3 linked regions of the Schizosaccharomyces pombe genome follow. Changing the gene in region 2 together with the main gene of any one other region gives a genetic interaction. Each region holds a gene or a part of one and is shown on either strand. Other genes may lie near its edges. The genes, in order: wtf21, srk1 and amt1.

Region 1 (3,756 bases), 760 kb from region 2:
TATACGATATCTTGTTGACATCCTAAAAATATTGATTGACCATTAAAAAAAAAATCATGGACCTTTCCTACAAGACAGTTGATATGGTAGGACACAAGGAACATCAATCAAAGTGTATTTAATATGTGATGAACTAACGTCCCGCACCCTATACACATTCAAATGCTATTATTAAAAAAGGAAAATAGTTGGAATTAATCTTGACTCATTAAAAGCAAAATTTCATGAAACACTGCAAAAATAATTTAAAAAAAAAGTATTAAAAATATCCAATCCAACTTCAACTTTTCTGATTTCATTATCAAATCATCTCGCAGTACTGCATTCAATTGTCATTCAAATTTTACTAAAATTTTTCAGGTAAATACATCGGACAAACAACTTAGTGACACTTAAAAGAATGTGTTAAAAATATAATGCGATAAAGCTGGAAAATATGAACTATCGCTTATATGCTTTTTTGCGTTGGCCATTTTCGTAAAGAAAGTTTTCCAATTATAGAGATGTTCGGAAGCACAACATTAATAATGCAACTAGACTTCGCTTTCAACATCCATTTCCCCCAAGGGAATGTCATTATTATCGTTGGCACCTCTAATCGCATTTGCTAGCCCCATCATCGCATTTCCTATCCCTCCTAGTCGGGTAAGTAAAAAATCATTCATACAGTTGGTTGAATACACATACCTAATATAAAAGCTATACCATTCCTGATAGAGTTTCGTGTTCTTATGAGTGCACCTGGACATTCTGGCATGGTTAGAATAAAGTAAAGCAATATTTAACGAACCCATTTCGCAAAGAAAAAGAACATTGCCCATAATAAATAACACAGAGGCTTCAATTTCACAACCTATCCGTTCAAAATGTTTACCACGTAAAAACATCGTACCGTTTAGTACCAACACGATACCACTTTGTAACAAAAGCACTTTTGCCAACTTAGCCAACGTACGCTCGAATGTCCAAAATGGAATACAAACTGTTTATCAGCGTTTAGCATTGTAACTTCACTTACCAGATGATACAATTAAAAGTAAAACAGCCGAAATAGTGCATGTAGAACAGATGAGTGCCTTGTTTAAGATTAGATCGCCGGATTTGATGTAAACGAAGAGTATACAACAAATGATTAGCCAGAGTATCCAAATTATAATCATCATCTCTCTTCTTATGTTGAAAAGGCCAATAGAAATCACCTTTACACATTTTGCCAAGGAAATTACAGTTACTTTAACTGCCTTGACCCAAGTTTCATAGAAGTCTAATGAGTTAGTGACTGAAGGTAAGATTACCCATTGTCTCACTTACAAGTCAAGAATATTAAAGCCAAAGTGCAAACAAGACACCAAAATCCAAATAATGTCCATTCTGCTGCACCATAATCCTTAAAGAAAGCGTCCTTATACGTTAGATAACAAATTGCGAGTACATTCAGTACATAGATTGGTGTGAATGATATTAGCAGTTTTATCAAGAAAGGGGAAGAATTATCTGTCGACCTGGAAGGATTGTTTTCTCTATGTGTGTTAGGAGGATTATTTACAAGTGCGTGATCTGTTTAAATTAATATGATTGAAATACTTTAGTAAAGAAAGAGCATGTATCAAATTGTGTGCATTGCATGGCCGACTGTAAACAATGACCAAAGCATGCAATTTGACAAGATGGCAAGTTTCAACTTTCCATTGAGTAATTCCTTTCTTATTGTTTACAATTCTTACCTGAATATGGAGGTAATGCGCCCTCTTCCTCCGAATCATATTCTGGGAGTGGTCCTTTTTCCAAATCGATTTCATGATCTGTCTTCAATTCATCTTCTTCATCTAGAGGACTTTTCAAAGAAGTGTAATTATTCTTCATTTCATCAAGATCATTCTTTATTTAATAAAACACATGCGCGAATTAATTGCTATGATTGCGACAAACGAAACAGCAAAATCAAGAATATTCGCTCTGGAGTTCAATTTCAGCTGTTCAACATAAATAAATGAATAATACTCGTTTCAAAGCAAACTGTTTTTTCAATAATAGCAAGTGAAAAGTAGAATTCCAAAACTCATTTTAATGTAATTGCTTCTGACACATTTATTTTGTCACTGCCCTTTTTATTCACCCCAACTTAGATTTCCTTAAACGTTTTTGAGAAGCAAAACGTTGTAGTATAATTATAATGTCAGTACGCAATTTGGTATCTGCTTTAACGATACATAGCACTGCGGCGAGATTTCTAGCGACTTACAACATAGCGGTAAGCGGTATGTTAACTAACAATATTATATTTATTGTTATAAGAAGTCTATTAGTATCGGTCACCGATATAACTCATAACTGAACTGAGGAATGAGGTTCAGTGTGAATGATATTATTAAAATTCTCATAACAATGATTAATATCGTTGTTCGTTACTATCGCATACACACTCTTTACTAAATCGCAAATAAAACTCACTGTAGTTCTAAGCCTGGTTAAATAAATAGTTAATCGCGTGTCTGGCAACTGCAAACCATAATTGACTGTGTAGCGGGTTTCGTGATTTAAAATCTCACTCAAGCATTTGGTCGTTCATAGCCATGCTAAAGTTTTTTTAAAAAATTTTTTAATTTGTTTCGTTTGAAAAGACAAAAACTGATTCAACTTAATTTTGGTATTCATTACTATATTAAATTTTCAACATTTTCAACATTTTCTTATATCAAATACTCCTGCACCCATTTATTGCTGTTCGGTTTTATATTTACCTTTTGTTTACATACTAATTATTATATATTAACTATGGGCAAGTAATTTTCAATCGTTTGGCATATCGTAGAACAAAGTCGAAAAGATATATCTCCTTCACTGATTTGAGTTGTTCAACTTTTTAGTTCGTTTAGTTCAAATAATATATTTTATTCGATATATTTTAGGCGAGTGCGGAATTCGAAATATCAATAAGAATCATATCATATTAAAAAAAATAATTAATTATTTGTAAAAAACGTAAAGCCTTTTGAGCTAGTCAATAAATGGCTCATAACTAAATTCACTGTGCTATAAAGTGGAGGATTTATGTGAAAAGTGTAAATATGAATTTATTATGAAATATTCGGCATAACATGATTTACAAAATTATTTTGAAGCATTTAGCAGATAAACGAACCAATTATTTGACAGAAACTTGACCTTGCAAGCTATGCAATCCCGATTATATTTGTTTACTAGATTGTATTCATAAAGTTTCGAAGACTATAAAAATGGGAAAACATTAAGATGAATAAATGTTGGGATTGAATTAAAAGCTTAAAGACGCATTAAGGCAAGTGAATAAAATTCCTATTTTTAAGTCATAAAAGATACAAAAATACCAAAAAATTGAACACAACTATCAAGAGGATATATGAAACGTTCAGTTCGCAGTAAGAAAAGAAGCCAATGCTTCGTTACAGAAGAGTCAGTTGCTCAGCTTGAAGGTATTCTAGAATTTGGGGAGACAACCGTGATTCTATCATGGTACTGAACATCACCAACATAGACCCTTTAAATTGCAAACGTTGTAATTTCTTCTTTGATTCCTCATTGACTACAGGAAGTTTAGATATTGTTCTGTACAAAGCTTTAATGGAAGACATGGAAATGTACATTAAGGATGGAATAACGCTCAAGACCTCATCCTGGAATGTGGAAAACTCAAAAGCGCGACGCCGTAAACGTGCAGAAATTGGTGGAATTTGTTCATTGGGTTCGAATTCAGCTTGCACTTCATTGATTGGCAAA
Region 2 (3,756 bases):
TGCTTAGACCGAAATCTGCGAGACGGATTCGACCGATGGTGCCAGCGCCGACACCGGGAATAAACTCGCCCTCGTCTACCTTATCGGGATCGTCTCCGGCACGGTATTTACGAACCCGAGAGGGCACAAAGTCGATAGAATCAAAAAGCAGGTTTTCAGGTTTGATATCACGATGAACGACACCGCAGTCTTCATGCAGATATCGAATGGCATGTGCAACTTGAGTTATGACATGACGAGACAAATCTTCGGAAAAATAGGTGAGGCGAACGATTTGATGAAATAATTCACCACCGTCAGCCAGCTCTAAAACCAGGTAATAGTATTCCGGGGTTTGGATGAATTCCAAGAGTTGAATGATGTTAGGATGTTTAACGCGACGCATGATTTGAACCTCTTTTAAAATGTTGTGCGATTCAACGCCTTGTCTTTTTCTGGGATCGCGAGGATCGGTGTTTGGTTGAGCGCGCTGGACAACTTTAATGGCGACTTTTTCACCCGTTCTGTTGTGAATAGCTTTGTATACATTACTAAAAGCACCATCGCCCATCTTTTGTAATAGAGTGTATTGTTCAAGGCCTTTATATACAGGAAATTGTTGGCCGGAATGTTCCTCAACAATGGCCTTTGCAACTAAAGCCTCGATGGCTTTATCATATTCTTTTTCGTTGGTAGGTTGTTTACATTTGGAGCGCGAATATTCGGAAGGATTCTCGTGCACCGTCTCGTGGAAATGTGCATGCCGGGACTTGGGTTTCGAGGTGGGATTTTGAGTGGAGTCCGCTACTTGCTGAGTTATGCCAAAATTTTCTTCAGCATCCGAAAATATGCCAGCAGTATAGCCATGGTCCCGTTCAGCATAGGAATCGGGATTCACTTCGCGAACGTTCACCTTGCCCTCGTCCTCGATATTTTGCTGAATACTCTAAATAAATTAAATTAGCATAACAAAAAACAAAAAAAAAGTAAAAGGGAAATGTGTTTATGGATAAAGGTGGTTGGAAGAAAACAAAACCAAAACACATTGTATGCGTAAAAGAAGTGCGGTGAGATTGATGTTTCCTACTGAGAAGAGGGATGGAATGGAAAGGATGGGAGTATAATCAATAGGCATGGTTATGGTTATGCTTTTGGTAATTCAAACATACTTTAAAACGCATTATTTGAACAGACGGCGACAAACGGAATCAATCAAGAGATATGGGTATTATTAGAAAAATAACTAATTAAAGATCTCTAGTCGTTTGGTTTTACGTCTGGAAATGTGCCAACACATTTGCTTCCAAATTCTTGACACTGATCTATCCGCATCCGTACTCTTGAACTAAACCAAGATAACAGAGAGACAAGATGATAGAAAAAAGAAAAAAAAAAGAAAAAAAAAAGGAATTTCGCACAAAAAGAATGAAAAAAAAGATACACTTGCGCATCCGCCAAATTTAACTTAACGACTTGAAAGCGAAACCCGTCACCTGAATGATGTAGAGAATGAAGTCAAGCATACAATCACCGCCTAGCAGAAGGGGAAGGAGACGTGATATAGAATAAGGTAAAGATGAAATCAAAACTGATCATCAAGGAAAGAGCAAATCTCCGTATGAAAGCACCTGACGTAGAAGAAAAAAAAAATCCAAAAAAAAGTCCAAAAAACTAGTCACAGACTTGGAAAGAAAATAAAAATGAAATAAAAACACAAAAGAAAAAAATCGCTTCTTGCTTTTCTTTTTTTTTTATTAGAATTCAGTAATCTTCCAAGACTCGATATTGTCCAACCGTCCTAATTCATTCGTCCACTTATCTCTCCTAAGATCCCTATCCCCAACCCAGTCCAAAGGTAGGAAGTGTAACGTCAACAACACTCTCCAAACGCAAAGTCTTTCCGATACTCATCTCCAGCCTCTAATATCCGCGTTTACATCCACAATCCAAACAAAAATCCGACTCAAACATTACCCACACGAACGAGTGAGCAAACATTTACAAACGTACATTTTTAAGAATCATATAACTTTCCAATACTGGGTACCCTTCCAATAGTCTCCAAAAAATTACTAAATTAGCTTTTCAATTGATTTTCACAGAAATATATTGTTGGTGTCCAACAATCGTGGTATGCGAAAGACAAGAAGTTTATGTCGGCGGATTTGCCTACTTTGACGTCCTTCGTTAACGTACGTCATTGGCATCATGCGAGCCGCTCGTTCCAACTCTGTATTCGCTTACGATGGTGGTGACGTTGCGCATCCATGACTCGATGAGGTTTTGCGGTAAGCGACACGGTGCAATGGCGAGGTAAAAGTGTAAAGTGGGTGGAGGTCAGCATGACATCAGAGACAAAATAGGAGGATATTGGTGTAGGAAGGGAAGAGAAGAGGATATCGTTTATAAAGAGGTTGTTGGAGGAATGCTAGGGGGGGAGAGAGAGAGAGAGAAAGAAAAAAAAAGATAGAAGTATGGATGGCATGGATGTGTTCTATCTTGTTTTCGATTGTATACTATGAAAGATGGATAGAAAGAATTTATTCGAGATCTAATATTTTTTCAATCTCACTCATCCATCCTCTTGCAAACCTTTTTTTCTTTTTCATTCACCCATGAATTTCATCTGATACAGCAAATCAACCAATCTTTCCTTCCTCCCCTCCATTGCTCATTTCACTTTTGAGTGGCTTCTGCACTGTTTGGCGAAATAAATTTCCATGTTATTCCATTTTGAGTTGATTAGTTGAGTGATTTTCTTCTGTCGTGAAAATTTTCAACAAACTTTATCTGTCTATCTCATTATCCTTGTTGATGCAGCGATCCATCTCATTTCTGTTACTTGCAATTGATTTCTTATAATTAGCAAAATTTTCATAAGCCGACTGGCTGGCTTCATTACATATCCATCATCTTGGTGTACAATGAGATCGACGCAATTGACCTGATAAAAACGCTGGATGAAAAATCGCCCATTCCTCATTGTTGAATGAATGAGATGAGATGATGTTTTGGCTGTTGTCGCCTGACTTCAAGATCTAAAATTCATTTGAAAAATCAAAAGTTCTTCTTATAGGGCACGGCAATTGCGCCCTTTCCATACAATGCAAGCCCTTAAGTATAGAGATGGCGAGCTTGTTTATCATCATGGATAAACGCTTCGCCGTCTTTGCCTCAAGTGACAAGCCAAATAATTGTAGTAGAAAGAACATGTTTTTTTTAAAAAATATCATTGTACTGTCGAATTACCTTTACCTTTTGTATAAGGCATGGATTGTTTGTACTACCATATCTCTTTGCTGCGATTTTCCTCTGTTCAATTTTCTCTTTATAGCGATTCCATACTTTACTGAGATTCTCTACAATGATTCCTCTTTACTATGGTTTCTTTTCGTATCACTGTGTTTTATTACGTTATCATTCCAATCTTTGGAAATATAGCTGACAGCTTGCACAGGCTGAGGAATCGCTTCTTCAATAGTCATAATGAATATAAAGTTAATGTTGATTTTACCTGAATATGTTTATATAAGAAAGGCCTACCTAAGAATGAACAGTTCTCTTATTACTGTATTCATGTTTATACTTATAATTTGGATATACTGGCTAAGACGATATTGGCGGATAGGAAAGGCAGAGTCGTATTAGAATAAGTGAAAAAAGCGTGCGACAGCTAAAGAAATCGCATAGGAAATTTTTTAGAAGGGTTTTTAAAGGTAAGTTTTGTTCCTTCTGAACCGCAGTTCAACCAAATTTCCCATCCATCATGTTAGCTTG
Region 3 (3,756 bases), 770 kb from region 2:
TCGATAACACACCAAACAATACCACCAACAGAAGCAGCAAGATGTGTAACGACGACAGCCATGACACCACGCATGTTGGCAGCAGCGGAAGAACCACCGTTAAAGCCGAACCAACCAAACCACAAAAATACGGTGCCAAGAACGACGTGGGGAACGTTGTGTGGGCGATATTTGGTAGTACCATGGTCACAACGCTTTCCAATTACGATGGAATAAGCCAAAGCAGCCATACCGGAGGAGATGTGAACGGGAGAGCCACCAGCGAAATCGTAAGAGCCCAACTTGTTCAACCAACCATTAGGATTCCAAGTCCAAAAGGCGATTGGGTCGTAGACGATGGAAGTCCAGAGAAACATGAAGACCATACAGGGAAACATGCGACCGCGATCAGCGGCAGCACCGATAGCCAAAGCGGGAGTAATGGCGGCAAACATACCTTGGAACACGCAAAACAAGATGTCGGGTACACTGGAAGCACCGGAAGAAGGTCTACCCAACGTTTGGCGAAGACCGAAATTGGCGAGGGATCCGATGTATGGACCACCCTCGTGAGAGAAAGTAAGCGAATAACCCCAAAAGAACCACTGAAAGGCAACAATGGCGACAGACATCATTGACAAAAACAGCATAGAAATGGCACTTCTACGACGAGCCAAGCCGGAGTAAAAGAAACCGACACCGGGAATCATGATAAACACCAAAGCGGTACTTGTGAGAATCCAGGCAACATCACCATTATTGTAAAATTGATTAAGATTGACGGTCATGGAATCACCGCCATTGACACCCGAAGGGGTGGGAGTGGCATCGGTAGTGGAAGACATGATTCAAGAAGTCTTGTCTATCTATTAAGAAATGAAGAGAGACCAACACAACCCAAAATAAAGGGGATTAAAAAAATTACAAACAAAAGAGGTTTGTTGGCGAAAAGAAGAAAAGTAAAAGTAAAATAAAATAGTATCGAGACTAATAAGGTATGTATAAATGGAAGGAATTTTTCTATAGAGACAAAAAAAAAAAAACACCTAGGAAATCAAGGACCCAAACGATAAAAAGAAAACACAACAAATTATATATATATCGAACGACCAAGAAGAAATTAGGGGATCGATATTTGAATATTGGGGAGAAAAGAAGAAGAAAAACACTCGAAAAGAAGAAAAATCAAATTTCGAGAAAATAAGTAAAATTAATAAAGAGAAAAAAAAAAGGAATTAAATTATTCTTCTTTTCCTTTGAACTTTGAATTATTTTTGTTTTTCAAATTTTTTTCTTTCTTCTATTACAAAACAAAAAAAAGAAAACTGTATCAACCACCCAAAAACCGATGACGATAAAATAAACAAATGCACGCTAAAGCAGAAGCAGATGTAAATGTAAATGCACGTATCAACAACGAGAACAAAAATTGAACCAGCGAATCCAACAGACTGGAAGTATGAATGAAAGAATAAAACAAAAACAAATATAGAGAAATTTGAATTTGTAAACTACCTAGCTAGCAAATATGCACGCACAAGAGCAAGAAATGCGTAAAATTCAAGTTAAAGAGATGCACTGCAAGTCAGGCGTCAAGATATGCTCTAAGGTTGGAATATCGTTAGATTTAAGGTGCAGGGTGAAATAGGCCAACGTTGGTTATCCGCGTCTCAACCGTACGGTAGGGGAGAGAGTCGGCGGTTTTATATGCGCGCAGATTCTAAGCATCCCTAAAATCTGGTGGTTATCAAGTTTGATAACGGCAAAAATGCAAGGACGCAATTGGACAGCAATATTTTTAATGATTGGTTCAAAGTAACGATCGAGATAAGCAGAGATCTATATCCGACGCAATGATTGGACCAAAGGCGAGCAATGATTATGTAAAGAGATTAACTTAAAGCTTTAGTGGGCAATAGGTAACGAGATAAGGGTATTTAACGATAAAAGAACAAATTCCTTAACCAATCGGACGACTCTGTAACCGAAATCAACCGAACAGAGTTTAGAATGGGTAACGATGTAAGGGTGGTGTAAAGGTGACAAGAGCTGTTTCGGCGGGCGAGCAACAAGGCAATGACAATGACAAAGACAAAAGTAGAGAGAGAGGAGAGAAGATTAAAGAGAGAGAAAAAAGACAGTAGAAAGGAGAGAAAGAAGAAAACAAGTAGAAGTAGAAATAGAAATGGAAATGGAAATAGAAAGATGAAAAATAAAAAAAATAAAAAATAAAAAAAGAGATGCTATGAAAATATACTTCAACAGTTTATTCATTCATTCATTCAAAAAAACAGAAAAAAAAAATTTCAATTTTCCATTGTTTTTGACGTTTCAAAGTCAAAGGCAAAAGGCATTATTGATATGGCTTGGTTTCGCAGGAGGTAGGGTAGGGTAGGGTAGGGTATGTGGTAGTATAATATATGATATGCTAGCTAGTATGGAATATGTTGTGTGCTTAGTTGATATATGTTATGTGCAACTATGATTTGTGCTAGTTGATAAATTGCTATTAAAGGAATCTCTGGAATCGCTTTGATAATGTTTTGTCGTTCGATCGGCTCCTCATCCTTGTTATGACGGTTGTTTTTCTTCTTTTTCCTTTTCTTTTGTTTCGTCCGGCCTATCCATAGTGTCCTGCGACGATCCCGTTCGGATACATGGAAGTAGTTTAATATTCGTATGTGAAAGGAAGGCAGGGAGAGAGAGAAGGAGGGAGAAAAGAAGGAAGAGAGAGAGAAGAGAAAGAGACATGCAAAAAAGAGGATATTCATTTAATTTTCCTTTTTTTTTTTTTTTTTTTTTTTTTTTTTTTAATTTCTTTCTTTTTTTTTTCTTTTCTCTCTCTTTAATCTTCTCTCCTCTCTCTTTTCTCTCCATCGTTCTTTCATCTAATCAGCTCTGCCCTTGTTTATCATCTCTAATAAATTCTTTGATCTTTAATTTGTCAAACGCTAACATGATGAATCATTCATCTCTACCTTGATTTGACTTTTCTTCCCCTGTTTTTTTAAATTTTATTTGTAATTTTCCACTTCCCTATCTGCTTGTTTGTTTGTTCTTGTCTTTTTTTTTTTTTTTTAATAAATTTTTTTTTTTTTGGTTTTCGATTTTTTATTTTTTTATTTTTTAATTTATGTTTATTTTTGTTTATGTATGTTTATCATTTTATTACTTTGAATTTGTAATATCATTGCAATTGAAACGCTTGCAAAATTACCGCCTCCTTCTCATACTTTCCTTATTAATCAATCATCTTTTTGTTTTCCGACTATATTGATATTTTTTTCTTTCATTGTTAATCGACTTGTTGTCTTGCTTCATCTTGGTTCCGCATTTCTCCGTTCATCTCGTTCCGTTGCATGAAAAAGTTCTAGTTCTGGCGAGAGCACTAGAAGTTTTCTAATTTTTTATTTTTTATTTATTTTTGATCAAAGAGGAATCCCAAATCCTATTCTAATCCTAATGCCAATCCTACTCCTGATCCCAAGTGCAAGTGCAATACAATCCCTAATAAAGTAAACTCAAGCAACTTAGAAAATGCATTCTTCAATCTTCAAAATAATACTTCATAATACGCTTTCTACTTTTTCTTTCTAATCCTTTTCCTCCCTTCTAACCGCTTTCACTACTAAAATTGTCGTCAATTCTATTTATTTATTCATTCCATTTTCCTTTACTCTTTTCTTCCCTTTTTCCAATCCACACATCTTTTCCTTCTTCTCCCTACCGCTCCTACAATATCTCCTTATAAGACAATGCAGTGTATCAATCCTTTAT

Evidence for each region.
Region 1: mutations in srk1 (region 2) and wtf21 together harm fitness more than expected from each alone (negative genetic interaction), as found in Schizosaccharomyces pombe (one large-scale study listed by BioGRID).
Region 3: mutations in srk1 (region 2) and amt1 together harm fitness more than expected from each alone (negative genetic interaction), as found in Schizosaccharomyces pombe (one large-scale study listed by BioGRID).

What each region holds. Positions count from the first base shown.
Region 1 is NC_003421.2:2,062,559-2,066,314, reverse strand, and holds the start of wtf21 (wtf meiotic drive antidote-like Wtf21), read right to left. Parts: upstream 2,082-3,756; 5' UTR 1,864-2,081; coding exon 1,725-1,863; exon of another isoform or gene 1,558-1,724; coding exon 1,312-1,557; exon of another isoform or gene 1,291-1,311; intron 1,265-1,290; coding exon 1,019-1,264; intron 983-1,018; coding exon 791-982; exon of another isoform or gene 751-790; coding exon 688-750; exon of another isoform or gene 638-687; coding exon 534-637; 3' UTR 1-533. Other genes in the region: nucleoporin Npp106, read right to left, coding at 3,423-3,756. UniProt on the Schizosaccharomyces pombe protein: Acts as a suppressor component of the dual wtf meiotic drive system, and can suppress but not confer meiotic drive by compatible poisons.
Region 2 is NC_003421.2:1,300,304-1,304,059, reverse strand, and holds the start of srk1 (MAPK-activated protein kinase Srk1), read right to left. Parts: upstream 2,124-3,756; 5' UTR 1,161-2,123; coding exon 1,149-1,160; intron 926-1,148; coding exon 1-925. Other genes in the region: protein mug150, read left to right, coding at 3,106-3,420. UniProt on the Schizosaccharomyces pombe protein: Delays the mitotic G2/M transition by promoting nuclear exclusion of cdc25. During osmotic stress, inhibits the G2/M transition in a sty1 stress-activated MAPK pathway-dependent manner.
Region 3 is NC_003421.2:2,066,874-2,070,629, reverse strand, and holds the start of amt1 (plasma membrane ammonium transmembrane transporter Amt1), read right to left. Parts: upstream 1,652-3,756; 5' UTR 825-1,651; coding exon 1-824. UniProt on the Schizosaccharomyces pombe protein: Transporter for ammonium to use as a nitrogen source. Under ammonium limitation acts as an ammonium sensor, generating a signal that leads to pseudohyphal growth.